Linked DNA regions of Lytechinus pictus. The protein of the gene in region 1 interacts with the protein of each later gene in a pairwise test. Links are inferred from orthologs where the notes say so. Each region holds a gene or a part of one and is shown on either strand. Other genes may lie near its edges. The genes, in order: ras-related protein Rap-1A-like; retinal rod rhodopsin-sensitive cGMP 3',5'-cyclic phosphodiesterase subunit delta-like.

Region 1 (15,938 bases):
GCTAATTCTGCATGTTCAGGGAGGAATTAAACGTTGTTTCACTTGACAAGAGGAAAATTTTTAAATATTTTATATAATACAAGAGAAATAGTGAGTGGATGACGTCATCAGTCTGCTCATTTGCATACCGACCAGGAACTGTTTTGTGAAATTACGCAAAACTTCAAAATGTCATAACTTTCTTATTTTTCATCCGATTTTGATGAAATTTTTAGTGTTATGCTTGTTGCATTTTTCTCTTTTTATTCAAATCAACATTTTATTCCTCATACATGTAGTCTCAGGTTTTTTTTTGTCTTATCAATCTATAGGGGTGAGAAGAAGTTGCACTATGTAAGAAAACAACATAATCTATAGACTATAGGCTTTCAAAGCTTCATTTCATTTACTCAATATGCTTTATTTCATTTGTATCAATTATACAAATTTTAAGTAATAATAATGATAATAATAGTCCGCTTTTATATAGCGCTTAATACATTGGAACGACGTGTCTAAGCGCTTTACAGATATATTATTAACCCAGTCATCGGATTCAATCAGTCATTCCCGCGCACAATGTATGCACATCCTCCACTCCCTGGGTAGTATTCCAGTCAGTCGCTAGTGAGGCGCACACAGTACTGGACAAGCTACAATGACTTTCACATCCTACCGGGTACCCACAAGTGCATGAAATATAAGTTTGGGTTTCAATCTATAAATATTAGGCCCTTGAACTGCTTATTTCTTTAATTGAGGAATTTTAATCAAATTGTTTTTTTCAATGTTTGTTTTAACTGTTTTTTTTTTAAATTTCTTATGTACAGTTTTGTGGTTACTTTTGGGTTTTTTTATCGTTTTTTAATGGAAATTATTGGCAACAATTTTCCAATCATTAACAAAAAGTACAAATATTGATACAGATAAAATGTTGGCGAAAAATTTGCATTGGCTTTACTTGTGTAATATCATGGAGCTATCAATGTGTTGATAGCTCCATGGTAATATCATAACCGCATATCCATGCATGTATCAAAAAAATAGTCTTGAACAATATGGCGTGGCCCTGCTGTTCTTATGGATTTATCATAGAAATTTTTAAGGGGGCCATTACAGTCCCCTGGGATTGTTAGGGTTAAAGGTCAAATCCACCCCAGAAAAATGCTGATTTGAATCAGTAGAGAAAATTCAACCAAGCATAATGCTGAAAATTTCATCAAAATCGGATGTAAAATAAGAAAGTTATGACATTTTAAAGTTTCGCTTATTTTTCACAAAACATTTATAACAACTCAGTGATGTGCAAATGAGGGAGTTGATGATGTCTCTCACTCACTATTTCTTTTGTTTTTTTAATTGTTTGAACAATAAAATATTTCAATTTATACAGATTTGATAATAATGACCAACTTAACTGAACCAAAAAATGTTAAAACAATGGTAGTTCCACTCATGTTCAGGGAGGAAAAAAAATATATTTCACATGACAATGAGAAAATAACGACATACAAAATAAATAGTGAGTGATGTCATCAGTCCCCTCATTTGCATACCAACCAGGATGCGCATATAACTGTTTTGCGAAATTAAGCGAAACTTTAAAAATGTCATCACTTTATTATTTTACATCCGATTTTGATGAAATTTTCAGCATAATACGTTTTTCTTGGGGTGGACTTGTCCTTTAAGGTTTGCTAGCTGATTATCTTATTCTGAATTAAACTACTTTTCTTCATCTTTACAAAGCGCAAAGTTTCGACTACTTTCGTGTGTACCTCAAGGTTACGATGTCAGTTATACTGTCTATTAGCAAAATATTATTGTGCTTGTGCAACACTTCCATTTCATTCAAGTACTACTATTACATATTTGAGCTTATTTTAAATAGTGTTTCTATCCCTGTCTAAAAGTGAGCACAACGCTCAAATGCTTGTTAAAATGAGAATATATAGATTGATCTACATAATTGAACAGGAGGAAAGGAACATGACAAAGCAATGGAAAAGGGGAGAATAAGGGGGGAAAGAGAGAGGAGAAAAAGAGTGGTGGTGAGAAAGAGATTTAGTTAGAAGAAAATAATACACCACTTAAGAAAAAAAGTATAAAAAATATATTCATGTAAAATCACATCCATGCATATTTATAACACACAAGTCTATGAGGTGTTTTAAAACGCGTTTTAAAACATGTTTTAAAACACACCGTTTAAAACGTGCCAACCCTGTGCACAACTCAGTGACATGCAAATGAGAGAGTCAATGATGTCCATCACTCACTATTTCTTTTGTTTGAATTACCGTATACATTATTTCAATTTTACCAATTTGACAATAAGGACCAACTTTACTGAACCAGAAAATGTTAAAACAGTGGCAATTCCACATATTCAGTGAGGAATAAAACTTTGTTTTACATGACAATGAGGAGAAAATTAGAATATTTCATATAATAAAATACAAAAGAAATAGTGGGTGAGTGATTTCACCAGTCTCCTCATTTGCATACCGACCAGGATGTGCATATAACTGTTTGGGAAATTTAGCAAAAATGTCATAACTTTCTTATTATACATCCAATTTTGATGACATTATCAGTGTTATGCTTGTTAGATTTTTCTCTTTTTATTCAAATCAACTTTTTGTTGGGGTGGACTTGTCCTTTAAAAACTGTTAGATCTACCCCTTTTGAAAAATTAAAATGGCTGAATGAAAAATACAATAGATTTTTGTATATACATGTACAGTGACATGCTGTAAAAAGTGAAAATAAATGAAAATAATTCGATAATCTCTTAGGATTGAAGTTAATTTAATATTTTTTTAACTCTTTACATTATTTTTCTTTGAAGTGTGAATATTGATGGCATCCATTTCTACACTTTCATTTATACAAAAATTACAAGACTGTCTAATTTAGGGCCTATATGTATTTTGAATGTACAGGTACATGTACTACATGTAGTAGTAGTTCTATTTACAGTGTCAAGATATTAATATGGTATTTCTCTGAAATGACCTCTACTTGTATATCCCACAGAAGCTTAAAGGGGAATGAAACCTTTGGAACAAGTAGGCGTGTGTCAAAACATAAAAATCAAAGAATATGAACAAAGAAAGTTTGAGTAAAATCGGACAAATAATGAGAAAGTTATGATCATTTGAATATTGCAATCACTAATGCTATGGAGATCTTAACATTGGCAATGCGACAAGGATGTTTGATGTCACATGTGAACAACTTTCCCTTTGATGTACTATAAAATACCCTCAAAAAGTCTCTTTTGTTTTTTCTTATGGTGATACAAACTCTTTATCCATGATGTATTCTTTCAAAATCTGTATTACATGCCCTCCTATAGAAAGAACACATGATCTACGGATAGATGTAATAAAAGAGGCAATTTAAGTGAAATATATACTAAATCAATGGGGGAGAGTTGTTCACAAGTGACATCACACATCTTTGTCGCATTGCCAATTTGAGGACCTCCATAGCATTCGTGATCGCAATATTCAAATGCTCATAACTTTCTCATTATTTGTCCGATTTTTCTCAAACTTTCGTGGATCTGTTTCTTGGATTTTTCTGTTTTCACACAAGCTATCTTGTTCCAAAGGTTTCATTTTCCTTTAAAGCATCCTGCTTCCTGTTTTAATCCTACCTGTATATAATGATACAAGAACACCACAGCTGGTGATCCTAATTGATACTGTAGTGTTGGTGATGTTTCCTTTGTTTATACCAGTAAATGGCATAACCTTGTCACTGTGGACTTGCATATATATATCTCTGTCACGTTACAAATGTGGATGTACAGATGACTGGGGCAGGCTTCCTGGTTTACATGTAGCTACATGTATGATACTGTGGAGATACATGTATAGGCCTTATTATCATGATAGGATAATTATATGACCCACCGAACTTGTTGATATGTGTCATACTGTAGTAGGCCATGGAACATTGAAATTATGAAACCCCCTTTTACAAAATCATGGAAGATTTTATCTGTTCACTAGGTGATTTCAGACCACCTCGAAGTTCGTCAGTTCCAGGTATTCTCTGATCGGGAAATTTACCCCGATCAGAAAATACCAGGTATTTTGGTAATGTGAAAGCAAACTACGCGTAATTTCCCCGAAAGAAAATACCCGCTAAATAGTAGGTACTTGGGCGAAATTACGAGAACTTTCGCGGGGATTTTTCCAAGGTCGCAGGTATTTTGGCGATGTGAAAGCAAATTACGGGAACTTTTAGCCCAGCGTGTCGTTGGGTGCGGCGCCGTGGGTGGCTGCTGGGCTAGTAGTTTTGAATCTCGCGCCTTGCCTGCTTATTAGACCATACTGCGCATGCTCCTAACTTCAGGAATTTATCCCGAAGTGTATTTTTCGGGGCGGTCTGAATGCAGGACTAATTAATGGGTATTTTTTAGCCTAAAATGTTCTCGTAATTTAACGGGGATTCTTGTGATCGAGGCGGTTTGAAACCACCTACTGATTGTGAAATATGTATCATTGTAGGCCTACATGTAGTCATAAATCAAGTATCACTGATAATCTTTCATGCAGTTCAGTTCAGCATGATCAAGGTCATATGTCATTTAGTGTCACTAACTTTAACCATGTTCTGGTATCAACTTATTATTAAACCAAGGTTAAGTTTGTAAAAATTATGTTTCATGAAACTTGGACATGTGAAATTAGGGCTTTCCCCCTATGTGAAATTTATTCGTCTTTCTCAGCACTGCTGTCACCGTCACGTTGAATATAGGGCCTACATGTATGATGCAGGCAACACTGCCAGAGCTGTCCACTTGTTTTAAAGTTCATCCTTGAATCTTGATTGTGTTTCAAAATCCTAAAGAGCTGTGAAAGGAAATAAGCCCCAAAAGCTGTACTTGAATATCTTTCAAGGAAGTAAATTGTTGATATTACCATGCAAACACCCAGGAAATATTTAGTGCTTTTTATTGATAAGCAGTTATGCACACATAAAAGTATAAACATATAGGCCTACATGTACATGTAGATTGATACAATATGTGTGTTAATACATTTGTATAATAGAGTCCAGTGACACATCCCAAATACTTTTTTTTTAGGGAAACTGATTACCTATTACATACCTTTAATAATGCTTTTTCCATATTTAAAAAAATACTTGGGCTTAAATAGTTTATTTTTATTTTTTGCATACGTGTAGTCATGCTGAAGAGCTGTGTCTTAACAATGATTTTTTTTAGTGTTGCTCACCAGTGATTTCTTTCTCCTGTTTGAATCGAACAGATGATGGGGAGGGGGGGGGGGGGGGGAACCAAACATGTATTGGATATGGATTATTTTAACCAAAAAAATAGGCAATTAATAGCAATATATTCTGTTGGAAAAAAACCCCAGACTGCTTCAGAATGGATTGGGAGTGATACTTGCATTTTAAAGATCACAACATGATTTCTAATTGTATGGATCCCTATTAACACTTTATGATAAAGGAAAGTAAAGAAAGGAAATGGATAATTGATATGACTTCCCCTAGTGTAAAGAGAGCCAAGTGAGAGAGAAGGATGATAGAGAGGGATGAAGGAAGTTTAAAGGGAAATTTGTAGAAGGGGGATACATGGATAGCAGCATTAAAAGGAAGGCAAATATCTATTAATGTATTGCATGTACACTTTAATGCAGAAGACCTGTCATACTTGTGAGCTTTATTGTAATGTTTTGGATTTTGGTGTCAAACTTCAGAATATTTTATACGCCTGTCCTAGGACGGGACGTATTATGGTATCACGCTCGGTATCCGTCTGTCCGTCCGTTAACTTTTCCTTGTAAACGCGATAACCTCAGTTTGATTTAATCTAGGGTCATGTAATTTGGTGTGTATGATAATAGCATTGATCCCAGGAAGCCTATTGATTTTGAGGTCCAAAGGTCAAGGTCAGTGACATATTTTCATCTTACCCTTCTGCAGTCTTTGTAAACGCGATAACTTCAGTTTAACTGAACCTAGGCTCATATAATTTGGTGTGTATGATACTAGCATGAATCCCAGGAAGCATATTGATTTTGAGGTCGAAGGTCAAGGTCACAGTGACATGTTTTCATCTTACCCTTCTGCAGTCTTTGTAAACGCGATAACTTCAGTTTAACTGAACCTAGGCTCATATAATTTGGTATATATGATACTAGCATGAATTCCAGGAAGCATATTGATTTTGAGGTCTAAAGGTCAAAGGTCAAGGTCACAGTGAGTCAGTGACATGTTTTCATCTTACCCTTCTGCAGTCTTTGTAAACGTGATAACTTCAGTTTAACTGAACCTAGGCTCATATAATTTGGTGTGTATGATACTAGCATAGATCCTAGCAATTCTATTGATTTTGAGGCCAAAAGGTCAAAGGTGAAGGCACCACCTTCTACTTTTCTTGCTTGACCAATAACTCAATTTTCCGTGTTACAGATGGGCGTATTATGTGCTCGCCTTAGCGACACTCTTGTTTGTGATTACATGTAAAATTATAACATAATGAAGGTTACATTGAATATGCCTGTTGAAACTTGAATCCCAGATTAAAGTGCAAGTATTAACTGTAATCAGTTCTATAATAAAAGTGGCATCGCACTGTTTTAGATAGAAATGAGAACACAGGGTTCTTAATTTTTTTTAGTAGCAAGTTATTTTTCTGATTTATTTGTACAAATTGGTAAAACATTCTATTCATATATGTGCTAATGGATATTTGATGAGCAAAATGATGATGTAATATCCCCACTTGTTATTTCGTATTTTAGCATATGAAATATGGAATATGAAATATGAATGTTATTAAAATTAATTAAAATATTGGGTTGACAACTGATTAGATGTTTATTACTACAACTTATTTTATCATAAGGGAGACATATCATACACTCTTGCATGAAAATATGACATAATGATGATTTCAAGTAATAACATGAGAAAAAAAGGGAGACATGGCATCATCAGCCGACCAAATGAATACTCATGACAACGTGTGTATTATTAAAAACAAAATATTGCTATCTTTAAAAGATTCAATAACTTTGTTATTTGTTATCATATTTTGTTGAAATTTTCGTCATTTTGCTCACCGAAGTTAACTCTATTTATATAGTTATTTTCAGCCCACAGTACCCCTTTAAAATGTATATGTTGTTTTTTTTTTAATGTGACTCAGAAAAATCAAACTAATATGACATTGTGATATTATAATATTTAATACATTCAAATCAATTCTTTTTATATCATTTCATATCTTTCAGCAAGTTGAAGTTGATGGACAACAATGCATGCTCGAGATCTTGGATACAGCAGGCACAGTAAGTTTAAAGTTACCCCCCCAAAAAAAATATAAAAACAAACAAACAACAATGGATGGAAGGGATGAACAGAGTGACGATTGAATAAAAGAAAGGTGTAAGTTACAAAATGAAAATTTAAGAATAATGTATATATCTATATACATAAATACAAATGGAAACATTCTTCATTTCAATTTATTTCCTTTTTTAAAAACAACAATACATGTATATATAAATCAATACAATGCCATATTCAATACATAATAATACTTCTAGTGGAAGATCATAAAAAACACAAATAATGGCTTATTAAAAATGACCCCTTACAGTATAAGTAACATACAAAGATGAAATAACTCCAAAAATGTATAATACAAACTAACGAAGGGTAAGAACAAAAGTGCGGTACGTGAATTACTGTACATCTGCATCAATCAGAACAATCAGGTAAAGTAATCAGGAGGTGTCTTTTATACAAACATTTGAATTGTTTTACAGTCTTACTATACTTAAATGAACAGGAATGAAAAATAAATCATGCTAAATACATGTAATACACAGAATGATTTTGCATTTGTAATTTCATCAGCATTTTTGGTCATAAGAGAAAAGATCTAGGTTCTATAGTACAGTCCTTTGTAAAAATCTGCAACAAAACAAGACTTTTTGTAGAGCAGCCTTTATAAAATGTGGATCAAACCGTGATGCGATACCTGGAAGAACTAAGAATGCCAAATGAATGTGGATATTAAGTGAAACAAAAGGGGGGAAATATGAAATTGGATAATTGTGACAAATTATTATTTGTATTATGTTTTGTATCTTAGAAGCCTGCGTGAATGTTGGTCAGAAATCAAGTCAGTTTTATCGTAATACCTTCTCTCTATTTGTTGAAAAATACAGTCAAATAGCTATTATAAAAAAGGAAGTTGAGCAAATCGGATATCCATTATCCATACCCTATCCTTTTGCAATGAATTCACACACACACACACACACATCAAATTCCAATAGACCTCCATGTACAGGATGAGGATCATCCCTCCAACCAGAAGTGTATTTTACATGTATTACTATATTGTACAACATATTTCCGGACTGTTTTTGTTTAATGTGCCCTTTAGAGATAGTTGAAGCCTATAACCTTGAAATCAAAGACGTTTTGTTGGTTTTTGTGTGCGTGTGTGAAAATAAGAACATATTTTTTTTCCAAAATTAATCACAATCAATACTTTCTCATTTTTGCGAACTGCGAACATTTGCATGCATAAAACATTTTGTGAAACAAAATGTGTGTAGTGTTTGTTTCACAATTTTGAAATGACTTCATGGTCGAGCTGATTTTATGATTATACCTTTGCTATATATACCAGGCATGATATTCTCCCGATTAAAATTGAAATTCCGATTTTTTAAAATAATTTTTTTAGATTTAATTTTTTTTAACGTGAACTCCTTTGCCCAAGAACGTGAAAATGACATAAAGCGAAAATAATGACAGTTTATAGGAAGAATGATTCATTAAATTATGATTGATTTAAAGGGGGATCTCATTTCTGACATGAACACATTGCATGCATCATTATTTGGTTATGAAATAACTTCTTAAATATACATTGCAAGCACTCTTCAAAATGAATTTGGAGGAAAGATGATTATCATTATTATAAAATTGTTTTGATTTTTGTTATATTATTAAATTATTATTCTTACAATAGTAGTTATATATACAAACTATTTAAAGTTAAAATGAAATAAATTGTAGAGTAGTACAAATCACTTTATATTCTCAGCCAGGGCTCATTTTATACTCACATAATTTATCAAGTAATCTTTTTATTTCTATTCTTTTCCTTTCTTTTTATGTCTCCAGGAACAATTTACAGCAATGAGAGATTTGTACATGAAGAATGGGCAGGGTTTTGTTCTTGTGTATTCCATCACAGCACAATCTACCTTTAATGATCTACATGATTTACGAGAGCAGATTCTACGTGTCAAAGACACAGATAATGTGAGTACCTATCAGTCGGCAGACTAATACACCTTTGTTTACCTGAATGCTTTCATACATGTGGTACACTATACAGTTTAATATGACCTTGTTGAAAATAATGCAGGTAGCACTTATCCACTGATAAAGCTTGTAATGGGAGACTCGTGTCATTTAGGACATTGTCTCCTGCTATAAATGTTTGACTTTCAAGAATGTTGTTATTCAAATATTTTGTTGAGGAAAGAAGTCTTGGTGCACATGCATGTATATTGGAAGATTCATAGACATTATGATGCCAAGTCAGTAATCCTCCCTCATATTTTTAAGTAAGATAAGTAATTTTGTTTTGCTGTATCTATTACATAAATAGTGTAATTTTTTATAAAAATATGCCTTTAATTTCAATGAGAAATGCTTTTATTTCCCCTATTTGCTTTCTCACCCTGCTTTTATTGTTCTTTTATTCGTTGAATTCAATTCTTTTAAAATTTCATATCATTTCATACCATATATTTGCTTATCATTTATTGTTGTTTTTCTTTTTTTACACATTTTTTGTACATTGATGGTAACTATATTCTCTAAAACATCCCCTTGACTGTTGTTATGATGTACCTTTCAGGTTCCCATGGTACTTGTAGGAAACAAATGTGATTTAGAAGATGAGAGAGTAGTAGGAAAGGATCAGGGAGCCAGCTTAGCAAGGCAATTCAATGGATGGTAAGTACACCAATCCATACATTTTATTTTTACAGCAATTATATTTTAAACGATGGATGCTTCTACCTTGGTTGGCAACTATATCTGTTCTATTGAGCGATCGGTTTTTCTATCCAATTTTAATTTTTTAGGATGAGGGTGTACTAATGTTGTATCGAAAAGTACCACATGATTAAAACTCTATGGTCCTGTTGTTGTTTGTAGTGCAACATTGATTTTATGAACCCACAAATCATAGATGACGCATGCGTAGATGGTTCTGCTTGTCAATTTTTTTATCGTAGAAGCATTCATCATGCAAACTAAAAGACCCTTACTATCATATCTTTAAAGGAATAGTAGTGAACCACATTAAAGACTTCACTATACATCCCCAAAATACTGAACAATTACCGTAAACACTCATTTTTTTGTGAGTACCTGCTTAGTGTTCAAAACAAAGATTGAAAAGAGTCACCTGTGATATAAATAGATTCTCTCACCCATTGAATTCATACCAACTGATGTAGCTTTTTACAAATCCTGATCATGATAAATTGTGCAGAAAGATCTTTTATTTTTTTAAGAGATTAAATGGTATGATAAAAGTAGAGGTCAATATAACAGACATCCAGTACATTCTTCGCTCCTATTATTTCACTTCAAGTTTGTGGTGAGGTGTAATAACTGTTTGAACTTATTAAGTCACTTTAACATTAATTCTGTTTTAGATATGCAAGTTTTTTCTCTCCAAGAACTGGAAAAATGTTTGGATCCATATTACAGTGAATGTTAGTGATTCCCACTTGTTTCCTGTTCTAGATTGTATGTATATTCTGTGTCAAGATAAATGCAAAGATTTAAACTGAATAGTTTAAATGTTAATATCAGGGGTTGAATTTCAAAGCTATTAATTTCATTTATGATTTTTTTAATGCCATAATGATTATGAATTTTGAAGTCTTATTTGCCATTAAAGGGGTGTGTATCCTAAATATTTTCCTGCAATCCTTTTTTAATACAGACATGTGTGGAATGGGATCCATGTTCTATTTAGGTCTTGGCTTTTTTTCCCTTTTCCCCCTAATTATGTACCTCATTGGCAAACTCCCAGAAACAAAAATTGTTTAAAGTCATAGCAGAAAACAGCTGTGACTTTATTACTTTCTACAGTCATTACAGCAAGGATGCATCTGCTAGGTTTGGGGTTTGAAGAGAAAATTGAGATATTTAAATAACAACATTCCTATCATAAAAAAGGGATTTTTAGTTTTAATATTTAAGTTTCCCATATTACACATTTAATTTGTAGAAAGAAAGAAAGATATGTTTCAATGCTCTCACTATTACTTTGTATGGACCCAGCAGGAATGTTGTCAATTAAACGCTATTGTTTTTTGGGGGGTAAGAATATTAGAAGTAGCTTACAGTGCTATCAATGCATGTGTAAAACAATAAATAATACATGCAATATTTTTTTTGCATACTGTATGCAATGTCCAATTCCTCAAATATTCTGTTTTCAATATACATGTAAAGTGTACCTCTTTTTACATGTTATCATAAAGAGGAGAAAGTCCAGTGATTTAAATATCAAGTATGCATAAACCCACATCCAATATGATACCTAACACCTCAAATAATCAGGCAATGAATGTATTTCTAGTTTTTTTACCACCCCACTATGAAACTGTTTCATTGTATTACATTTACACTACATATTTATTAGATCTGGGGACTGTTTCATGAAAGTTGTCAGCACTGACAAGTTGAATTTCTCTGATACTATAGTAACAGTCAGAGGCCAGTGCCTCTCAGCCAAGGATCTCACTAAAAAGTCAGCACTGACAATTAAGATAGTGCTGAAAACTTACATGAAATGCCCCCTTGCTGTAATGCTTTGAATGAAAAGGATTAACTACCTTTGATGTCAGCATTATACATGTTCTACAATGTTTGTTTTTATCTTGTGCAGTACATTCTTGGAGACCTCAGCTAAAGCCAAGGTCAATGTTAATGACCTCTTCTATGACCTAGTCAGACAGATCAATCGACTAACACCAGAATCACGGAAGAAACCAGGAAAAGGAGGAAAGGGTGACAGAAAGAAATGCATAATTGTGTAATAAATGGCTGTTTGGGATGAAAAAAAATATTTGTTTGATGGAATGAAACGGGGTGAAAAGAGGATTTTGTAAGAGCTTTAAACAATCCATCGGGTTTGTGACTGACAAATTCTGTGCAGCTTTAATAGAGAATGACTCTGAACATGCTTTGTAACACTTTCATCATATTGGTAGCCCTTGTGGTGATTTGTGCTCTCTCCATAGAGGTGATATTATTCAAATCTTCTGCATGAAAATAGAGGAAATCTTGACAATGAACAAGGATTTTTTACGTTTTCTAGCCATTAGATAACATTTATCCACTCAGCAATGCTTGTTTGTTATAGCACTGTACTATACTTGAAAACTCAGAAACATCTAAAAACATATCATTGTTCTTATAGATGCAAGAGTTTACATGAAAGCTGCATTTCTTTATTAATATCCCTTGACTTGATTAATAGAGGAACAAATATTCCACATACTTATAATATAAGCCTTGAAGACTGGTAAAAATCAGTATAAGAAGAATGTTTGGGAAAGATTGGTTCAAGTTGAAAAAGGAGAAAGTGGATGGAACTGACAAACAAAAGTTGCAAAGATTGTCTGTATTGAGTGTTGGGGTCTTCTATATGGGACCAGTATTACTGGGATCATTTTTGTACATTCAGAAAAAAAAGCAAAAGCCTTCAACTCTGCTTTGTTTTGTATTGTTCAACTGTACAAATTTTGGTACATGTAATTGACTATAACATAGGACAGTATATGTATCACTTGTTAACTACATTTTAGATTACATTGTTGCACCCTAGTCCCAAATTATACATTTAATAAAACTATGTCTTTTGTTCAGCCTCGTTTGTAATGCCTCATTCAGATTTCATGTAAAAAAATTGGCAGCAGCAAAACCTTGTTAGATAACAATGCAGGGTGTGAAGGGGCACAGAAGAAAACACTCAATAATCATCTCAAATGTACATCACACTGATCTTATCATCTTTAAATCATTTGCATTTTCATGTCTGAATTAGACTTTATATTTGAAGCTGGTCAAGAGGAATAGTTGCAAGAAGTTACTTGTAATAAAGTCAGTCATTTCTGAGGACCTCACATTGGTCAATTCCAATTAGTTAGTCTGGGACTGTATATCAACTTGCGATGATCAACCCTATGTTGTTGCTATGTATGCACATTGTTTGATATTGTAACATCAATTGCATCATCAGATTATCTGATGGTCTTTGGTGATATGCAATTAATGTAGTGTACTGGTAGGAGAATTTTAGATCTACCTGTATATTTTGATATCTTTGAGTAGAAAAGTCAGTTCTCCCATGTCATTCCCCTTACTAGTCCATACCATTCTTATTCATCCAGTACCCTTATTAAAATTACCACTTTGTTTTCTCCATTTCTTCATATAACATTTTTTTAGAATGAGGGGAAAGGGCATACTTATTCATAATTTGTATAATTGAGATGAGATATATTCATCTCACAATCAGTTTTTCATATACACTACAATATCGCACTCCTGACACTTGGTACAGTATTGTTGCATTGTACTGATAGTGTGACATTAGAGGACAATAAAGTCTGTTTTATCTGACAATTACCATCGTAATAGTTAGACATCTGTGCTTTTCAGCCAATCAAAATCAAAGAAAGTCATCAGACTTGATAAATGTTGATAACACTTTCCTGGTGGTGTATTACCAAATAGCTTTTTAGCTTAGGAATGAGAACAATGTTTAATTAAGTTATACTTATATCCCTGCCATTCAGGATATATAGCATAAATTCTTTTGAGAGTAAAAAAAAAAAAGAATATTGTTTCATAAGTATGTTCAAATAGTAATCCTAGTTCAGTACTGGGCAGCTGAAACAAATGATATCAAAAATATGATTGACATTTTTAAAACAGATTGTTAAATGAACTCCCTTTATTAATGTACCTATGTTTGTTTGTATGTCTGCATGCTCTTCCAATTAATATTAAATATGTCTCAGTGAGTATTGCATTATTTAAATTGCTATAGGTCTTATTTATCTCGAAATGTTATATATGTATACTTTGTCATCATCTTAATAATTATTCATTGATATCTTTACTCTTTTTTTTTTTACTTTATGTTGTAGACAAGAAAAATAAGCATTGAGTATTTTGTTATCTATGACTAGATTTGTTAACATAAGTTATAGGTAGAAATTCATTGTAAACGACAATAGGTCATATGCACAGTTTGTATTTTTTAACCAAAATTTCAATACCCTTCTCAACATTACAAACAAAGTTTGATCGTAAACAAAGAGAGTAAGAGAAAAAGAATTTGTCAGATCATTTTAAGATTCAAAGCAAATCTCTAATACAAATTCAAACAGAAAGTGTTTTTAAATCAAATTTTACATTGGAAAATGACAGCAATATTGCCTTACATTAACAAAGGAGCTTTGAAAGAAATTTATAAAAGAATAAATCTATGATGTTGAGCTTGCCAATAAATATATGAAATGATTGTATAATAACTCTACTTGTTTCATTTTGTACTATTATTCATTTGGGTTACCATATTGAATTTTGGAGTAGGAAAATCAGGCAAATACTTGCAATGCAGTGATTTGTAACTTTTGTCATTTGATATGTTTGATTTTATCATTGATGTAATCATCATTGCCAAGTGTCAAACAACACAGTAGACTGATGATGGTAGATACAGCAGAATGTTGTAAGAAAAATGAAATCAACATATTATTAGGAAAGATTGATTTGTTTTGATGAATATTGTTTACATGCATGTACACTTTGATATAAATGAATGGAATTTAAATGCATGCATGTGTATTTAGGTTTGATTTTTTTCTTGTAAATAATGGAGAGGTCTAAGGGTTCATTTGCAAAACCAGATCTGTCCATTGTGGCAGCTTTAGTCTTTAAAGGTTGTAGATTCTTTTTTTTTTTGTTCTCTCTCTCTCTCTCTCTCTGTAATCCTTTCGACATGATTGTTGCATATTTTCTATCTGGTATCCCATTTCCATAGTAATGTATGATCACAATTGATTCATGGCCACTTCTCTTAGAACACCAATAACCAGGGTTTTTCAATGTTAATTGATGAATAAAAAAACAGTTTTGATTTAATTAAGATTAAAGATTCAAACTGGAGCTTAAACTAGGAGGTTATCAGACAAGATTGATATGATCACAGATTTATGACAAATGTATTGATGCATGATTGATCAGTATTGAGAGAGCGCATATAAAGGCTAACTGAATCTTTCATGCTCAGTTGTCAAAATTACATAAAAGAAAAAAAAATTCTTATCTATTTTACATGTATACTAGAACTAAGAATTGCCTTGCATTGAAATTAAACATTTTATAAATAACTCTTCTATTTTATTGAATTTTAATTTCTTTATTTAACAACTTTTATCAGTAGGACAGGTATTAAACTTCTGTGTTCATCATTTAGAAGGCTTTTCTAGCATTTGTATGTTTGTAAATGTGATGCCATTAAAATGATTTTTATGTTGGATGTCTGGGCTTGCATTGTGAGGAAGCCTTAATCAATAAATATGCTTTACTGTACAGTATACAAACATGATGTTACTTGTTTAGTTCTTTTGTCTCGGTCATGTTTGATTTTCAATTATCAACTTCATTCCTAACTTACCATAATCACATTTATATTGACTCGGTCTACTAAGAGATGGTCTTACTCTCTGGTCTTCTCTATCACGATCAGGGCTAAACTCACTTGGTCTGCTAAGAGATGGTCTTACTCTCTGGTCTTCTCTATCACCATCAAGGCTAAACTCACTTGGTCTAAAAAGAGA
Region 2 (15,938 bases), on another chromosome or scaffold:
ACACTTGTTTTTCAACGGCATTTTTACATTTAAAAATGTAGTTGTGCCTCTCAAGGGGGGGCGAGCCGGCTGTGCCCCCCCTGCCCCCCCCCCCCCCGTGAATCCGCCAGTGTCACCATGCCATCTTTAATTCAAAATACCAATCTTCTGATCATGTACAGAATCGAACTACGAACTGGTTTATGAAAGAAAAAAAAGGAGAAAAATGAGAAGGGGCCGGAGAGAAAGAAGCAGTAAGAGAAAATAAAGAGGAGCACAAAAAGAGAAATACACTCTTAAAAAATGAAAGGTTGGATAGGGGTAAATCACCCTTTAAACATGTTAAAATGGCCTATAGTATATTATAGGAGAGGTAAATTGCCAATTCGTCCACTGCCAACTCGTCCACTCACCACATGGTCTACCTTCATTTAGTCTAGAGCCATTCCGTCCATCAACATTTCGTCTAACAACAATTTTTTCCAATAACCATTTGGTCCAATTGTCACTTCGTCTAATCACCATTTCGTCTGTTACAATTTCGTCTAATAACCAGTTGGTCTAATACCCATTTTCTTTTCATTCATTTTGCACTATTTTAGTTTAATTAGACCAAATGGTATATGGACTAAATGGCTATTGGGCCAACTGGTTATTAGACAGAATGGCATTTAGACTAAATGAAAGCGTAGACCATGTGGTGAGTAGACGAACTGATGATGGACCAAATGGTAGTAGATGAGTTGGCAATTGGACGGATTGGCATTAGACGAATTGGAAATAAACCATAGGAGTGACATCGTTTTTGATAAGGGTAAAAAATGATGTCACTCCGCCCTTTTTCCTCCCCTTCCTCTCTTTTCGTCATTTATGTTTTATTACCCCTATAATTGATTGAGAAAACATGTTGCCTTGCCCCCTCCCCCAGGTCAAAATATCCTGCCCCCCCCCCCCCCCGCGCCCTGAATCTGAATAAAGACAAGTGAAAATGGTGTATAAACCTGAGGTAATATATGAAGCCAAAGGAGAAAATTCAAATTTCTTGAGAATAGGCAAACAATAGTAATGTCAAGTGTAAGTTAAATAAAACACAAGCAATTCAGCAAATACATGTCGGTTTTATAAATCATGAGGTTTTAATAACAAAACTCATCGTATTCAAAAGGTCACCAAATGTAGGCATTTATAACGGTTCCATGACGTATGTTCCGGCGACAATTGCTCCGATGGAAAATCTGCACGTTAAGCCAAACATAAAACCTAACCTACAGAACTGAATAAACCCTAATCCTTATTTTTTTTATACATTATTCTAAACCAAAAACTCTAATACAATCCTAACCAGTGGCGTACCTAGGATTTTCCACAGGGGGGGGGGGGCAAATTCTATATATAGCAAAAAAAAAAAAAAAAAAAAAAAAAGGTCTTCAACCACAAATTAAGGATTTCGTACCAGAAAAAAAATTTGACAAGCAAAAAGAAAAAAAAAAGGTCTTCAAGACTCGTCAGGGGGGCAGGGATATGTCCCTTGCATGGGTTGTGACTCGTCAGGGGGGGGGGCAGTCTGCCCCCTCTGCCCCCCCCCCCCGTAGGTACGCTAGTGACCCTAACTCTATATGCCCTCTGAGATAATAAGAATGGAGCAATATTGTCGCAGGAGCAAAATTGTCGTGTAACCTTTATAACTGATGATGAATTGCGAAGACAGAGTCACAATCTATAAGAATTATAAATAAAACCAGATCGGATTTGAATGCTTGGAATGGTGACCGGCCGAAAATTAGCTTGAGATTTAAAACTGTGGATTTAAATTGAAATCTTTTGAAAAAAGGTCAATCCTTAGGAATGAAGGTGAATCCAATGTTCGGCTGGTCACCCTATTCGCATACATTCGTAATTCCGACACTTCTTTATTCCGAAGGTTCGAGTATTCCGAACGTTCGTAATTCCGACGGTTCGTAATTCCGAAGGTTCGTAATTTCGAAGGTTCGTTAGTCCGAAAACGAAATAAGGTTCGTAATTCCGAAGGTTCGTTACTCCGAAAACGAAATGATGTTCGTAATTCCGAAGGTTCGTTAGTCCGAAAACGAAATGAGGTTCGTTAATCCGAAAATGTTAAGAAAAAGACAAAAAAGGGGTCTTTATCACCCCTATTCTGGTAGAAACAATCAACCCCCCCCCCCCGCAGAGCGATTAAAAAAATTGGGTTTATAAGTGGTAAACATTTTAATCAAGAATGGATCTTTTAATAGACATTTTCAACTTTGACAAAACAATTTAAAAATGTATCAACGCGCCCCTATCGATATTTGATTTGATAACTTCTATCTGCTCTCATACTGGTTTTCGTTAATAGGTTAATAGTAGTTTTCTCTTTGAATGCATTTATATTTTATTTGTTTGATGTTCTGTAGTCTGTGTTTTAAGTTGTACTTATCGTAAACATGCTCAGTTTGATCCTTGCGCCTTTGTATCATGTACCTTTATTTACGTTTAAATTGGATAAATAAAATGAATAATCAAATAAATTTGCAGGTCTAGCAATGAGAGAAAACATGAACTATAGCCTCATAAGCCTATGATCATCCCTTTCAGAGAATTCTGCGTACGTAAACGCCCCTGATAACGATTGATCAACCCCTTCCCCCAGGGGCGGTGAAAGCGGGTGGGGGGCACAGGGGGCACTTGCACCCCCAAAAAAAAACTAACAATAATAAACCCCGTAGGAACGAAATACTATTTTTCCAAAATGGGAAATTCCCTTGTATTTTCCAAAATAAAATGTGCCGTTTTTTTTTATGAAATACCCTTTTTAAAGTATACATTTTTCATTTTAGATTAGAAAATCCCAATTTTTTGGTCATTGTTATCATTCATTGTTTAGTGAGGTACTCACCATTTTCGGTTATAAAAAGGCTTAGAATGTCCAGTTTGCAAACTAAAATATCTTATTAGCTCGCGCTTCGCACTCGCATTATTCGATGTATCCTATTCATGAGTCACTAAACGCATGTCCTTAATTAACAGGTTCCTTTTCTGGTCATTATTCGGCTGGCACTTCGCGCTCGTGTTAATTCTTCAGTTAGATGCACATCTTTTTAATGATTGCAAAAACTGCTCAGAATGTTTTATTTTCATTTCTTATTGAAATGTCCAAAAGTTTGAGCTTGCGATTTACGCTCGCAACACCTTTCAAGGATGCCCTATTGACAGTTGACAAAAATACGAGCTTTACAACATCAGCTTTGAAAACTTTTCCAAACCGCTCGCTTGTTACACTCTCTCGCGAAAAATAAAGCCTAAATATATATCTTACCATAATCAGAAATCTCTTTAAAAAAGGCTTTGCTCTACTTTGCTCCGCCGTTCTTCTTTTTGCCTCCACATCCTCATAACAATTGAACAGCAACGGTGTTCCCCCCCCCCCCTCCACCACGCTTATACTCTTCTTTGGAATAAAGAACATTATTTTGTTTTCGGATTATCGAACCTTCGAAAAACGATTAACCTTATTTCGTTTTCGGATTAACGAACCTTATTTCGTTTTCGGATTATCGAACCTTCGGAACAACGAACCTTATTTCGTTTTCAGATGAACGAACCTTCGGAATAACGAATCTTATTTCGTTTTCGGACTAACGAACCTTCGGAAGTACGAATCTTCGGAATAACGCTACAAATTTTCGGATTAACGAACCCTTTTTCGTTTTCGGATTAACGAACATCGAGGTATAGGCAATTTACGTGTTTCGGAATTACGATTCTTCGGAATAACGAACCTTCGGAATAAAGAATCTTCGGAATTACGAAGTGTAACCACTATATTCATAGCAGATCAGGGCCCGTTGCAGAAAGAGTTGCAATCAATCGCAACTCTAAAAATCATGCGCAACTTGATTTTCAACCAATCAACAGCGCGCATTTGGGACTTGCGATGGGCTTGCGATTGATTATTTGACTTGCGTTTGAACGCAACTCTTTCTGCAACGGACCCCTGGTTCTATTTTAAATCCTTTAAAATTTAGAGAATATAAAGATTGCAACACTATTTTTAAGTGTTTTTTTTTATTACAAAAAGGATAGGCCTATATCCCATTAAACTATTAAGAAAAAACAGCCAAAATAAACAAACAAAAGAAAAGTAAAAAAATAATAACAAAATAAATAAACCTCTGTGAGTAAAATATATAAATTAACACTACAATCCTATATCAAAGCACTCTAAATTGCATGGATCAAGAGTGGATCAAGAGTGACTTTCACTTTATCATTATTATTATTGTTATTATTATCATTGGTAGTAGTAGTAGTAGTATAATGATAATAATAATAATAATAATGATAATGATATTATTATTAGTTATTATTATCATTATCATCATTATTATCATCATCATTATTATTATCCTCTCTCCGCCTGACCTGGAGCATTCTGCGCCAGACAGACCCACAGCTCAAATGACTATATCTTTTCCATGTCACTCTCATGTCTAGCTTTCTGCACCATAGAGAGTTGTGCTGCACATGGGCGGAAATCCCAGGGGGACAGGGGGCGCTTCCCCCTACCATTTGGAAAGGGGGCACCCAATATCAAATGTCCCCCCTATTATTTGTGGACTTTTTAAATTATGTCTACCACCCCTGTGAAATGTAACAACGAATTATACGACTGGGGAAGTTAAAGAAAAGAAAATATGAAAATTATTGCGATTGTAACATTGAATTCCCGTAGCCATAGACTCAGGTCAGCAACAATGAAGGGAGTTTTCCTAGCCCGAACAGTATTCACCGTTAGCCTATATTGTCTTCTGCTTTGATGGGAAAACGAAATGCTTGTTTTTCAAACGATCAGTCGAATTCGTGCAACTTTTCTCGGCCAATGCATGCATCATTCATATTTTACGCATAAGGTCTCATTATGAAAGAGGAAAAGGTGGATATTTCCGAATAGATAGCAGTAAAAGCAGTAAAAAAAGAAAAAATTCACCCAAAATCGTAATCTGCTCGTGCAAATGAAAATGTGGTATAGCATCATTTTCTATCGTTCTAACTCACTCATGCGAGCATTATGAACGTTAAGATGGGTCTAAAAATTCAAAGAAGATCGAAAGCATAATATTTCCATTCATGTACATTTTATGAAGCAAATTTATGATCATGATAGGAAAAACTTTAAACTGAATCACGGTTTCCTTTTTTTCTGGGACGCACTGTATACAGGGGCCGCGGAAACGGGGGGCTGCGGGGGCCGGGGGCTTCAGATTTTTTTTTTCAAAAACCGTGTACAAAAACGTAAAAATTACCATCTGATTATGATTTTTTGCATGGTCAGCCCCCCCCCCCACTTTCACAACCGTTCCGCGGCCCCTTGTATATCAGGTACGGATCGAGGATTCTCCGAAAGCCTGGGGGCATTTTGTACAGGAAAATTTTGACAACCAAAAAAAAGGTCTTCACTACCAAATCAATCGCGATTGACCATTGACCAGTCTTTCAAAACCACCCTTTTTCTTAAAAATCGGTGTTTTTGATCCTGCGGCCCGTGTCCAAAACTGAAAAAAAAACCACCCCTTTATACGCGTTTGTTTTTGGTCACGCATGTGTACAGTAGTATTTGACTCCCCCCCCCCCCCCCCCGGGGGAGGAGGAGGAGGAGGAAGATCCCAGTTACAATAATCCACTCTATATAGTTTTTTTAGTATTTAGAACGAGCGACATCTACTGGCGCAATTTTAAGTATCAATTCACCCTGTTTACACACAGAAACATAATCCCATGTAGCAGGTTTGGATACTAAATCCCAATGTATTTAGAAATTATATTGGGTTTTATTCAATAAAAAAATATCTGACGATCATTTTCTCAAAAAATTTTACCTCATAATTGGGAAAATTATAAATAAAACGAAAACGATCCAAGCGGAATGATATAGTTTAGAGTGATGCGGCTGTTACCGGGTGACATTAACGCTGCAGAAAGCTAGCTGCTAACTTCATACAATCTGAATCCCGAAATACGTAGACTTGTGTACAAAGTAATGGATTAAACTTAGAGATTGTTTTACCTATAGCAGCTAGCAAAAAGGAAGTATGCAATGCATGAAATAAGGGATGGAGTTGAGCATCGACCGGTCGACTACCATCAATATCAAGTCTACGTTTTATTCAATTTGGTACAAGGATATGGGCCACTGTGAATAACCAACTGTGCTTTTTGGAACGATCTTACAGAAAAACAGTGTTGATACCAATTGAAGAAAACACTTGTATAGATCTACATCTACGTCGTTTAAGTTTTCGTTGTTGCCTGATCGAGACGACGAGAGGACCCCCGTGGATTGAGCTTCGACCCGACCTGTGGCTGTGCCGTCTGCCGAGCCTGCGCCTGCGTGGTGGCCCGAATTCACCGGCCCATTGACATCCTATTGCGGAATTTGGAAGACGTATTTTTGGATCTTGAATGTTATTTTCAGTTTGAGATAAATTGCAACGAACCCTTAGTCAAAATGCCTAGTAGAGCAGAAGATATTTTAAAAGGTTTCAAAGTGTATCCTTTTCCAAATCACATACTCACGGGACTAGCTAACCCAGGGAGCTCCGGCCCGCGCAGCAGGCCGGAGCCCAGGGGCTTACCGTGTAATTCGCCATACCCCACGGTACTAGTAGCGTGAGGTATGGTCTAAATCATTTTAAGAGTAAATAGTTAAAACAGAAATTAAGCACTTACCACGATTATATGGATGAAGGTCTAACGAGTGGCAGCTTCCTGACATCGAGGCACAGACTGGAACCTCAAAAAACGAAAAGTTCTGTCGCGGTAGCTCTCCTTCTTTCAGAATTCAAAACAAAATGGCCGATCGAGACCGAGGCTATAGCACTAGCGCATATAGACTTTGTCAAATTCGCGCATGCGCCCTACACCCTCGGTACCGGTCTCGAACAGCCATTTTGCTATGAATTCTGAAAGAAGGAAAGCTACCGTGACAGAACTTTTCGTTTTTTGAGGTTCCAGTCTGTCACTCTGTGCCTAGATGTCAGGAAGCTGCCACTCGTTAGACCTTCATCCATATAATCGTGGTAAGTGCTTAATTTCTGTTTTAACTATTTACTCTTAAAATGATTTAGACCATACCTCACGCTACTACCGTGGGGTATGGCGAATTACTCGGTAAGCCCCTGGGCTCTATGGTCTAAATATTTCTCCAAATGAATTGTGAAAACAGAAATTATGCACTTAGGCCTACCACGATTATATGGATGAAGGTCTAACGAGTGGCAGTTTCCTGACAACGAGGCACAGACTGGAACTTCAAAAAAACGAAAAGTTCTCTCCTTCAACCCCAGTCTCGATCGGCCATTTTGTTACGATTCATAACAAAAATGGCTGATTGAGACGGGGGTAGAAGGAGAGAACTTTTCGTTTTTTTGAAGTTCCAGTCTGTGCCTCGTTGTCAGGAAACTGCCACTCGTTAGACCTTCATCCATATAATCGTGGTAGGCCTACATGTAAGTGCATAATTTCTGTTTTCACAATTCATTTGGAGAAATATTTAGACCATAAATCACGCTAGTCCCGTGAGTATGGTCAAATACACGGTAAGCTCCCTGGGTTAAGTCAGAATCAGATTGGGCGTGGGGGGGGGGGGGCCATTTTTTTGGGTAAGAGTTCCATAGCACCCCCACTATAATTGAAAATAAAAACATGGAGAAGGTTCAGAATAATATATCTAGCCCTAAATATAGAACATAGATCTATGTGATGAGGGAGTGGAAATACATACCAAAATATGGCTTTATTCCGTCAAATTTCGAGCAGGATCTAGTGCGTGTAATTGTCCATAGACATCGGTTTATTTAGTCAGTAAGGGTCTGTGAGTCGAGACTAGTCGAACTATCGTTTGATAATCGTTAAAATACCACTTCCGGTATCGGCGCTTCTCACTAGCATAGCGGGAACGGTCTTGACTGCAAATAAAACGAGGTGAGTCCCAACTAAGGAAAGCAACAGTAAAAAAATGATAGAAAAATCTGAAGTGAACAAACCAGAAGTCTCAACAATCTTGTTATTTTTGGTGGGGGTGCATATGAACTCTTTCTTTTTTTTCCTATGAATTTTAACACTTTTTATCGTTCAGTACTACAGATACATGTAAGCCATTTTATAATCTTTTTATTAGGCGACTATTCTAGACTTGACTTGTAAGTTGTACTAGATCTAGGTATTTCATTCCAAGTCTTGTGTAGATTTAGACAGCTGGCAGCCGTCTGTTTCAAGGAGTTTTTTTAACATTAAAAAAAATTCTCCTCGTACTCAGATGGCTCGCGATCGTGCAGCCACATTTAGGGGGTTAACAATGCAAAATACCCCTGACGGGGCTCATCAATTTTTGTCTTTATTTCATAAAAATATATAAAAAGAACTGGACCAAAATAAAGATTATTTTTACTTTTTGGCCAGAAATGCACCAAATCAGGGAAAAATAAACTTAAAAGGGGAAAAAAGTGACTCGGCTGTAGTGCAACTCCCGCTTCCCTGGTTCATCAGAACTTAATACATAAACATATGGCCATTGAGTCCCTGTACAGATCGAGTTAGAACTTCGGTCTCTGTAATTGGTGAGTGGAGCCAACGGAGTTCAGCGGAACAACCAATACAGTATGACAGAGACCGTAGCGTTTGGTCTAGCCTAGATTCTAATCTAGATCTGACTAGGCCTAAGTTAGATCTACTATCTAGGGCTAGGCCTAGATCTAGATTTTTTATCAAAAAATTGAAAATATTTCATTAGACCCACTCATTCAATGAACAAGGGTATGATATAATTATAACCTTGTTCTGTTTTTAGTACTCCATGTGTGGCAAAATAAGGTTGGCAATGTTTGGTTTATTTTCTCTTTTTCTTTGGAACAAATGCTTGATTGTTTGACACTGTCTGATTCCATTGCAGCTAATCATCATGATCATATAACTTGGCTCTTAAGTACAATACAGAGAAAAAGAAACTTGGCATGATTTTGCGGGATGCGCATTTTCCCGTTAGGCACTTTTTGGTCAAAACACGACGCAATCTCGAAGCAGACCCGTCATTTTTTGGACTCCTCAAGATGGGTAACATGTTGTCAACCCGCTAGAATGAGTATATACACGCATATCAACCCGATAGACAGCAGGTTGAAAAACTGCCTAGAGCGCGCGCATAAGACACGTCCCCGCTAGAAATCGATGTGCGCAGCTCCTGGCTGAGTGACCCAGATATAGTTACGTCTTTGGCTTAAAGGACGAGTAGATTCTCTTTCCACTGTTTATTTATGGAGCTACATGTAGCTCCATGGTTTATTTTTCAGTGTTTATGTTAACAATGACGTCTTCTGTTTAAAGGACAAGTAGATAATCCTTTTTTATCTTTTTTTCTTCAATTCTGTATTTTTATAAAACTTTAATCAGGTACGTATTTCATTCAAAGAACAAGTATTTTCATCTTTTTTCTATTCATCAATTCTGTATTTTTATAAAACTTTAATCAGGTACGTATTTCATTCAAAGAACAAGTATTTTCATCTTTTTTCTATTCATCAATTCTGTATTTTTATTCAATCAGTTACATCATTCAAAGAAGGAGATTCCCTTTCCATCATTTGTCTTTTAACCTTTTTTTTCTTCATTTAATCGGTTACGTTGTTCATTCAAAGGATGAGTAGATTCGTTTCCCATCATTTTCTTTTCGTCAATTCTGTATTTTTTTTATTTCATCAGTTACGTCTTATTCAAAGAAGATTCGCTTTCCATCATTTTCTGTGTATTGTTTTTTTTTAATCAGTAATACTTCATTCATTTTAAGGACGAGTAGATTTGCTAACTATCATTTTCTGTTCATCAATTCTGTTTTTTTTTTTTTTCATCACTTTAATACGTCTTTTATTCAAAGAATAACATGTAGTGATCACTTTTTATACGCCCGTCCTACGGGACGTAGTATGGTATCATGCTCAGTGTCCATCTGTCTGTCCGTCCGTCCATTAACTTTTTTTTGTAAACGTGATAACTTCAGTTTAACTGAACCCAGGCTCATATAATTTGGTGTGTATAATAATAGCATGGATCCTGGGAAGCCTATTGATTTTGAGTTCAAAAGGTCAAGGTCACAGTGACATGTATTCTTCTTACCCTTCTGCAGTCCTTGTAAACACTACAACTTCAGTTTAACTTTACCCAGGTTCATATAAATTGGTGTGTATAATATTAGCATGGATCCCCTGAGGAAGCCTATTGATTTTGAGTTCAAAAGGTCAAGGTCACAGTGACATGTTTTCACCTTCATCCTTCTGCAGTCCTTGTAAATGCAATAACTTCAGTTTAAATTAACCTAGGCTCATATAACTTGTGTGTATGATACTAGCATGGATCCCAGGAAGCCTGAGGTCAAAAGTGAAGATCACAATGACATGTTTTCATCTTACTCTTCTGCAGTCCTTGTAAACGCAATAACTTTAGTTTAACTTAACCTCTAGAGGCTCATATAATTTAGTGTGTACATGTATGATACTGGCATGAATCCCAGGAAGCCTATTGATGTTGAGGTCAAAAGGTCAAGATCACAGTGACATGTTTTCATCTTACCCTTTTGAAGTCCTGTTAACGCGATGACTTTAGTTTAACTTAACCTAGGCCCATATACATGTATTTGGTGTGTACGATACTAGCATAGATCCCAGGAATTCTATTGATTTTGAGGTCAGAAGGTCAAAGGTGAAGTCACCACCTTCCACTTTTCTTGCTTGACCAATAACTCCATTTTCCGTGTTACAGGCAGGCGTATTATGTGCTCGCCTTAGCAACACTCTTGTTTTGTTTTTTGGGGTGGCCTGAATAGACAGGTTGACTGTATAGCGAATATGCCTATTCCGTATTCATCCAATTGTATGAAATTTGATGAAAGAGGGGTGTGACACAACATTTTTTCCTGTGACAATTCCTCCGGCAGACAGGCTTTATTTTGTCTAAAGGCGACCGCACACCTTACGATTGGTCTGCGATCCGATTTTGGAATAAAACCTAGAATTTGATGCTAATATTGAGACATGGAATATCTTACTGTGTAATGTTCTAAATCATTGTACGAATACCTATGTTCAAATCTGTGACTATGCTATCATCCTTTTTATATGCTTTTCACACTGTACTTTTTTTTTCCTTAACCCCGGGAAATTGGTGGGGCTAAGGGGGGCCTTAGCCCCACCAATTTCCTGGGGTTAAGCTTAGCCCACTTCGTTTTCACACTACGTTTTAGCAAAGTGGGCTAGCACGGTAAATAGTACAGTACTATCTGGCCCTGCAAAAAAGCAGGGTTAGCCGGCTTATTGTGGTGCTAGCACCACAATTGCGGTGCTAAGAGATGCAGTGTGAAACGAAACTGGGCTAAGGAAAAGTGGGGCTAAGCAATAGCCAATCACAGAAGTCGAAATTGCACATTAATCACGCTCTGTATGGTAAAATCATCAATATTCATGAGCTGTGGGATAGTCCGGGGTTTAGGCGTTAACCCCGGCTAAGCAGATAGTATGGGGTTAAGAAAGACAGTGTGAATCCAAAAAAAGATAGTATGGGGTTAAGGATAGTCCGGGGTTAAGGATAATATGGGGTTAAGGAAATGCAATGTGAAGAGCATATTAGAATAAAAGCAAATTTAATATTTAGTCATAATGACGTCATAGCAGTCGTACGATTGGCTACGATTTTAAACTAATTTTGCGTTTACTCCAAAATAAAGGCTTGCAATCTTTCAAAATGGTTATATTAGTATTTTTTCAATTAATTTTAACCTCAAATAAAATGATATGTTCCATTCACATTTTCGGGAAATGAGCAAAATGCGATTTGTTCCAAAATGGGATCGCGAACAGTCGTAAGGTGTGCGGTGGCCTTAAGATATAGAGTTAGGGTTGCAATAGGGTTTCGTGTTCTAGGTTTAGGGTTTTATGTTAGGTTTAGGGTAGGGTATAGTGTTCAATCCAGGTTACAGGGTTGAAGTTAGTATTTTTCGATTAGTGTGTTTTAGCAGAGCAATTGTTGGGGGGGGGGTGCAAATGTCATGGAACTATTAAAGAGAGAGGCTCTGTTGGACTATATATTGAATTATATCCCTTACTTAAAGGAGAATGAAACCCTTGAAACCAGCTGAATCCATATCAAAGAGAAAAATCAAAGAAACATATTGTTGAAAGTTTGAGGAAGATTGAATGAATAATAAGAAAGTTATGAGCATTTGAATATTGAGATCACTAATGCCATGTAGTTCCTCCCATTGGCAATGCGACCAAGATCTGTGATGTCACACACGTACAACTCCCTCATTACTTTAGTACTTATTTCACTTATATTCTCACTTTTATAGAGTCTATCACAATGTAAGGTGTTCTCTTTATGAGAGGACAAGTACAGAGGTTTCACAACATTATATCATTGATGAATCGTTTGTCATATGATTAGAATGAGCAAAAAGAGATGTTTTGGGGTATATTTTCAGTGTCCAAAAGGGGAGAGTTGTTCATCTGTGACATCATAGATCTTGGTCGCATTGCCAATGGGAGGATCTCCTTAGCATTAGTGATCTCGACATTCAAATGCTCATAACTCTTCTATTCCTAGTCCGATTTTACTCAAACTTTTGTTGATCTTATTCTTTGATTTTTCTGCTTTCACAAAAGCTAACTTGCTCCAAGAGTTTCCTTCTCCTTTAAGATTGTTGTATTGAGAGTGTACACAAGGAGAAAAAGAATAGTTTTACTACGAAAAACGTTTGCCATGAAATAGTTCATTTTCCTTGCTGACGTCACGCATAGTCCATTTTTTCCCTAGGGAAAAAGTGAACTATACGTTTGTTTGACCCCCCCCTGCACTAACCAGGTGCGCTCGCTGAACAGACGATTCATACGGCAAGACTTATTATTTTCTCAACTTCTCAACGATTGTTCTATATCGACTTATTAAAAATCGTTTCGCTGTAAAAGTCGGGTATCAATGAAGAATATCGATCGTGGTAAAACGATGAGGAATGGTTTGAGTGGAAGGGATATAAAGCAATAAGGCGATGGCCCTCGGGAGTATAGTACTATGTGATGTTCCCTCGATGCGAATAGTTTTAGCCAGATCCTCAAGTGTCATTGTATATTTGTATACTATACCGTGTTGAATATACATGTACATGTAGGTCCATGGTTGAGCATCTTTGACCCCATTCTCATTAAAGTCCTAAACTAGTTTAGTGGAAATTTGTTTTATTGTGTAATGGGAACACTCGAAGCCATCTTTCAAACCAGTTTGGAAAACCACCTTGCGGTGTGGTTTTTAAGACCGCTTTGCCCTAGTTTAAGTTTAAGCGTCGGTGAGGACAACTGTTCTTCGGGAAGTGATCTTTGCACAATGTTTGGCGCACTACTCTCCACACTTTGTGTAGAATTTCTACAATGTGGTTTCACATTTCACGTGAAACAAGTCACCCCTCTGAGACGTTCCCATAGCAACAAGACCATGTTACGTGAAGTGCTTTAGAAAACTACTTTCGGGTGATTAGATGAAAACGCTAGCATAGCAATCTACTGGTTTCGTGAACCATTTTCACCAAGCAAGTTTTTGAAAGTGCATACTGAGAATGGGGTCTTTGTTTCATGCAAAGTCTTGTACCATTCAATTGCACTCATGCCTTTTAAAATCGCTAATAATAATTACAGGCATAGCTGGATACAAAGCTCACCTATTATTACCCCGACTTTACCTTGAGCTACCGCTTTATCAGCAGTGCTCCGTGCATTCAAGGAATAAATCCTAGCAGGTACCCAGTCACCTCACCTGGGTTAAGTACAGCACAATGTGGATAAATCTGTTACTGCAGGAAAACACGCCATGGCTTGGATTCAAACCCATGACCCTCTGTTTGAAAGATGAGAGTCAGAACCACTATACAGTGATGCACCCTCATATATATGTATGTAGTTCATGTTATAATCTGCTTTGATGCTATCCCATCCGAATCCGTTCATTATTTGCCCAAGCATGGAAGTTTTGGGGGCAAAGTTTAATGTCCCTATCTCGAGTGCTTTTGATCACCCACTGACATGTACATGTACATTTGGGACATAAAATCCTCAAAATCTCATACCTCAAAGAGATGCTGATTATGATTACCAGTACATGGATAGTAATATAGTACTGTACACGCTATATTTGTACATTTCATTAAAAGAAACAATGTTGCAAGTGTTCATACAAGTGTAGCTCATGATATGGACATCATGGAGTTGACTTGCCTACAGTGTTAATGAAATATAGATCAACTGTAAATCAAGTTTGATAAATCTTGTTTGAATAACCCATGCCCTAGTACCTGTACATGTACATTGTGTTTGCAGACCTGTACATGTTATAGTGGGGCTAGCAAGTGTAAACATTAATATCAAGCTCTACATATTCTACTCCATGTACATGAAGCTCTCATTTGAATCATTGACATGTACGTAAATTGTATTTTGAAACAAGGGGAAAAAATGAAAATAAGGTGTCTTCACACAGCTCAATATATAATAATTTCAAGCAATATTGGTTGTAATAATCGGTAGTGTTATTCAAATTATCATTTTTATAAGCAAAGGGGGTCCGGGGGATGATGATTGTGATGGTGATTTTTTTTTTTTTTTTTTTGGGGGGGGGGGGTACATATACATGTATGTACATACAAATTGTAAAGACACCACCTCACTATACATGTATATGACCAATTTCTATCATGGCAGTAGCTGTTGGTTTCCATGGCAGCCAGAGTACATGTACACACTGATTGACTTTGCATTGCCTTGGTATTCAAATTACGTGCCAGTACTTTGCTACATTGGCCCATATTCTGATAGCAGGTTTAACTTAAACTCAGGTTTAAAATTGTGGTTTAAGTATGGATAGCCAATTTTTACATAAATCACTAACAGTAGAGATATCATATTTTAGCTCATTTGGCTCTCAAATCTTTCATAATTGTCTAGGAAGTATAAATATATGACTGTCTTCACTGTCAATGAATCAGGAAAGAGCACAGTAAACATAAGAAACATGCAACTTAATAAAAAAAATTGATACTTTGGCTTCCCATACTTAAACCACAACTTTAAACCTGAGTTTAAGTTAAACCTGCTATCAGAATACGGGCCATAGTATATAACTCCCAATGCATACATCATAAAGCCTACATCGTATTTAATCTGCTGTGGCGACCCTCCACTTGAGTTTTTGGTCTGAATATGCAGCCTACAATGACGTGTATACTAAAGGACCTCTTGCTCAGTGCTATAATGTAGTCTTGTGTGAAGACCCCCTTGTTGATCAGAGTTTCAATCAGGGTCTGTGCCTGCAGGCATACTATACACGTACATGTACAGTACAGTATCTTGAATTTTCATTGTCAATAGTTTTTAATTGAAATTCATCCAACTGGATATACATACAGTGTACGTGAATAATAAAAAAATTAATGCTGTTCATAGAGGCGCGATAGCACGGGGCTTTTGGATTCCGGTGACCCGGGTTCGATTCCCAAATGGTGCGCTAGTGCCCTTTGGTAAGGCTTTTACATGTATCCTCATTACCAGGTCCCTCTGAGAGGACCTTAAGCCTTTGATCCCCTGGTTGCTTGCTCACAGGCATTCATGCTTTCTTAGCAGTCAGGTAAAAAACCTCGGTATAACATTAGATCCAGTTGTAGTTGATTTATTAACCTCGGTATAACATTATTAACAGGCAAAAGTTCTTGTAATACTGGCAAGTGCCTACTTCATGTATTTAATAGTGGGTATTTTCTTTCAGGAATATCACCAATATTTTGCTTTCACATTGGCAATAATACACTGTACCTGGTATCTAGTGATCGGGCAAGGTCAGGAAAGAAAAGGTGGTATTCTTGAAATTTGAGGTGGTCT

Evidence for each region.
Region 2: the proteins of ras-related protein Rap-1A-like (region 1) and retinal rod rhodopsin-sensitive cGMP 3',5'-cyclic phosphodiesterase subunit delta-like interact in a two-hybrid assay, tested with the Homo sapiens proteins (2 studies listed by BioGRID). The link is inferred for Lytechinus pictus from reciprocal best matches to the Homo sapiens genes RAP1A and PDE6D.

What each region holds. Positions count from the first base shown.
Region 1 is NC_087247.1:78,807,541-78,823,478, forward strand, and holds ras-related protein Rap-1A-like, read left to right. Parts: upstream 1-7,240; 5' UTR 7,241-7,289; coding exon 7,290-7,319; intron 7,320-9,174; coding exon 9,175-9,315; intron 9,316-9,919; coding exon 9,920-10,017; intron 10,018-11,971; coding exon 11,972-12,122; 3' UTR 12,123-13,966; coding exon of another isoform or gene 13,967-13,980; 3' UTR 13,981-15,701; downstream 15,702-15,938. Other genes in the region: zinc finger CCCH domain-containing protein 13-like, read right to left, coding at 13,967-13,980, 15,776-15,938. UniProt on the Homo sapiens protein: Counteracts the mitogenic function of Ras, at least partly because it can interact with Ras GAPs and RAF in a competitive manner. Together with ITGB1BP1, regulates KRIT1 localization to microtubules and membranes.
Region 2 is NC_087258.1:10,976,921-10,992,858, forward strand, and holds the start of retinal rod rhodopsin-sensitive cGMP 3',5'-cyclic phosphodiesterase subunit delta-like, read left to right. Parts: upstream 1-5,930; 5' UTR 5,931-6,484; coding exon 6,485-6,525; intron 6,526-15,938. UniProt on the Homo sapiens protein: Promotes the release of prenylated target proteins from cellular membranes. Modulates the activity of prenylated or palmitoylated Ras family members by regulating their subcellular location.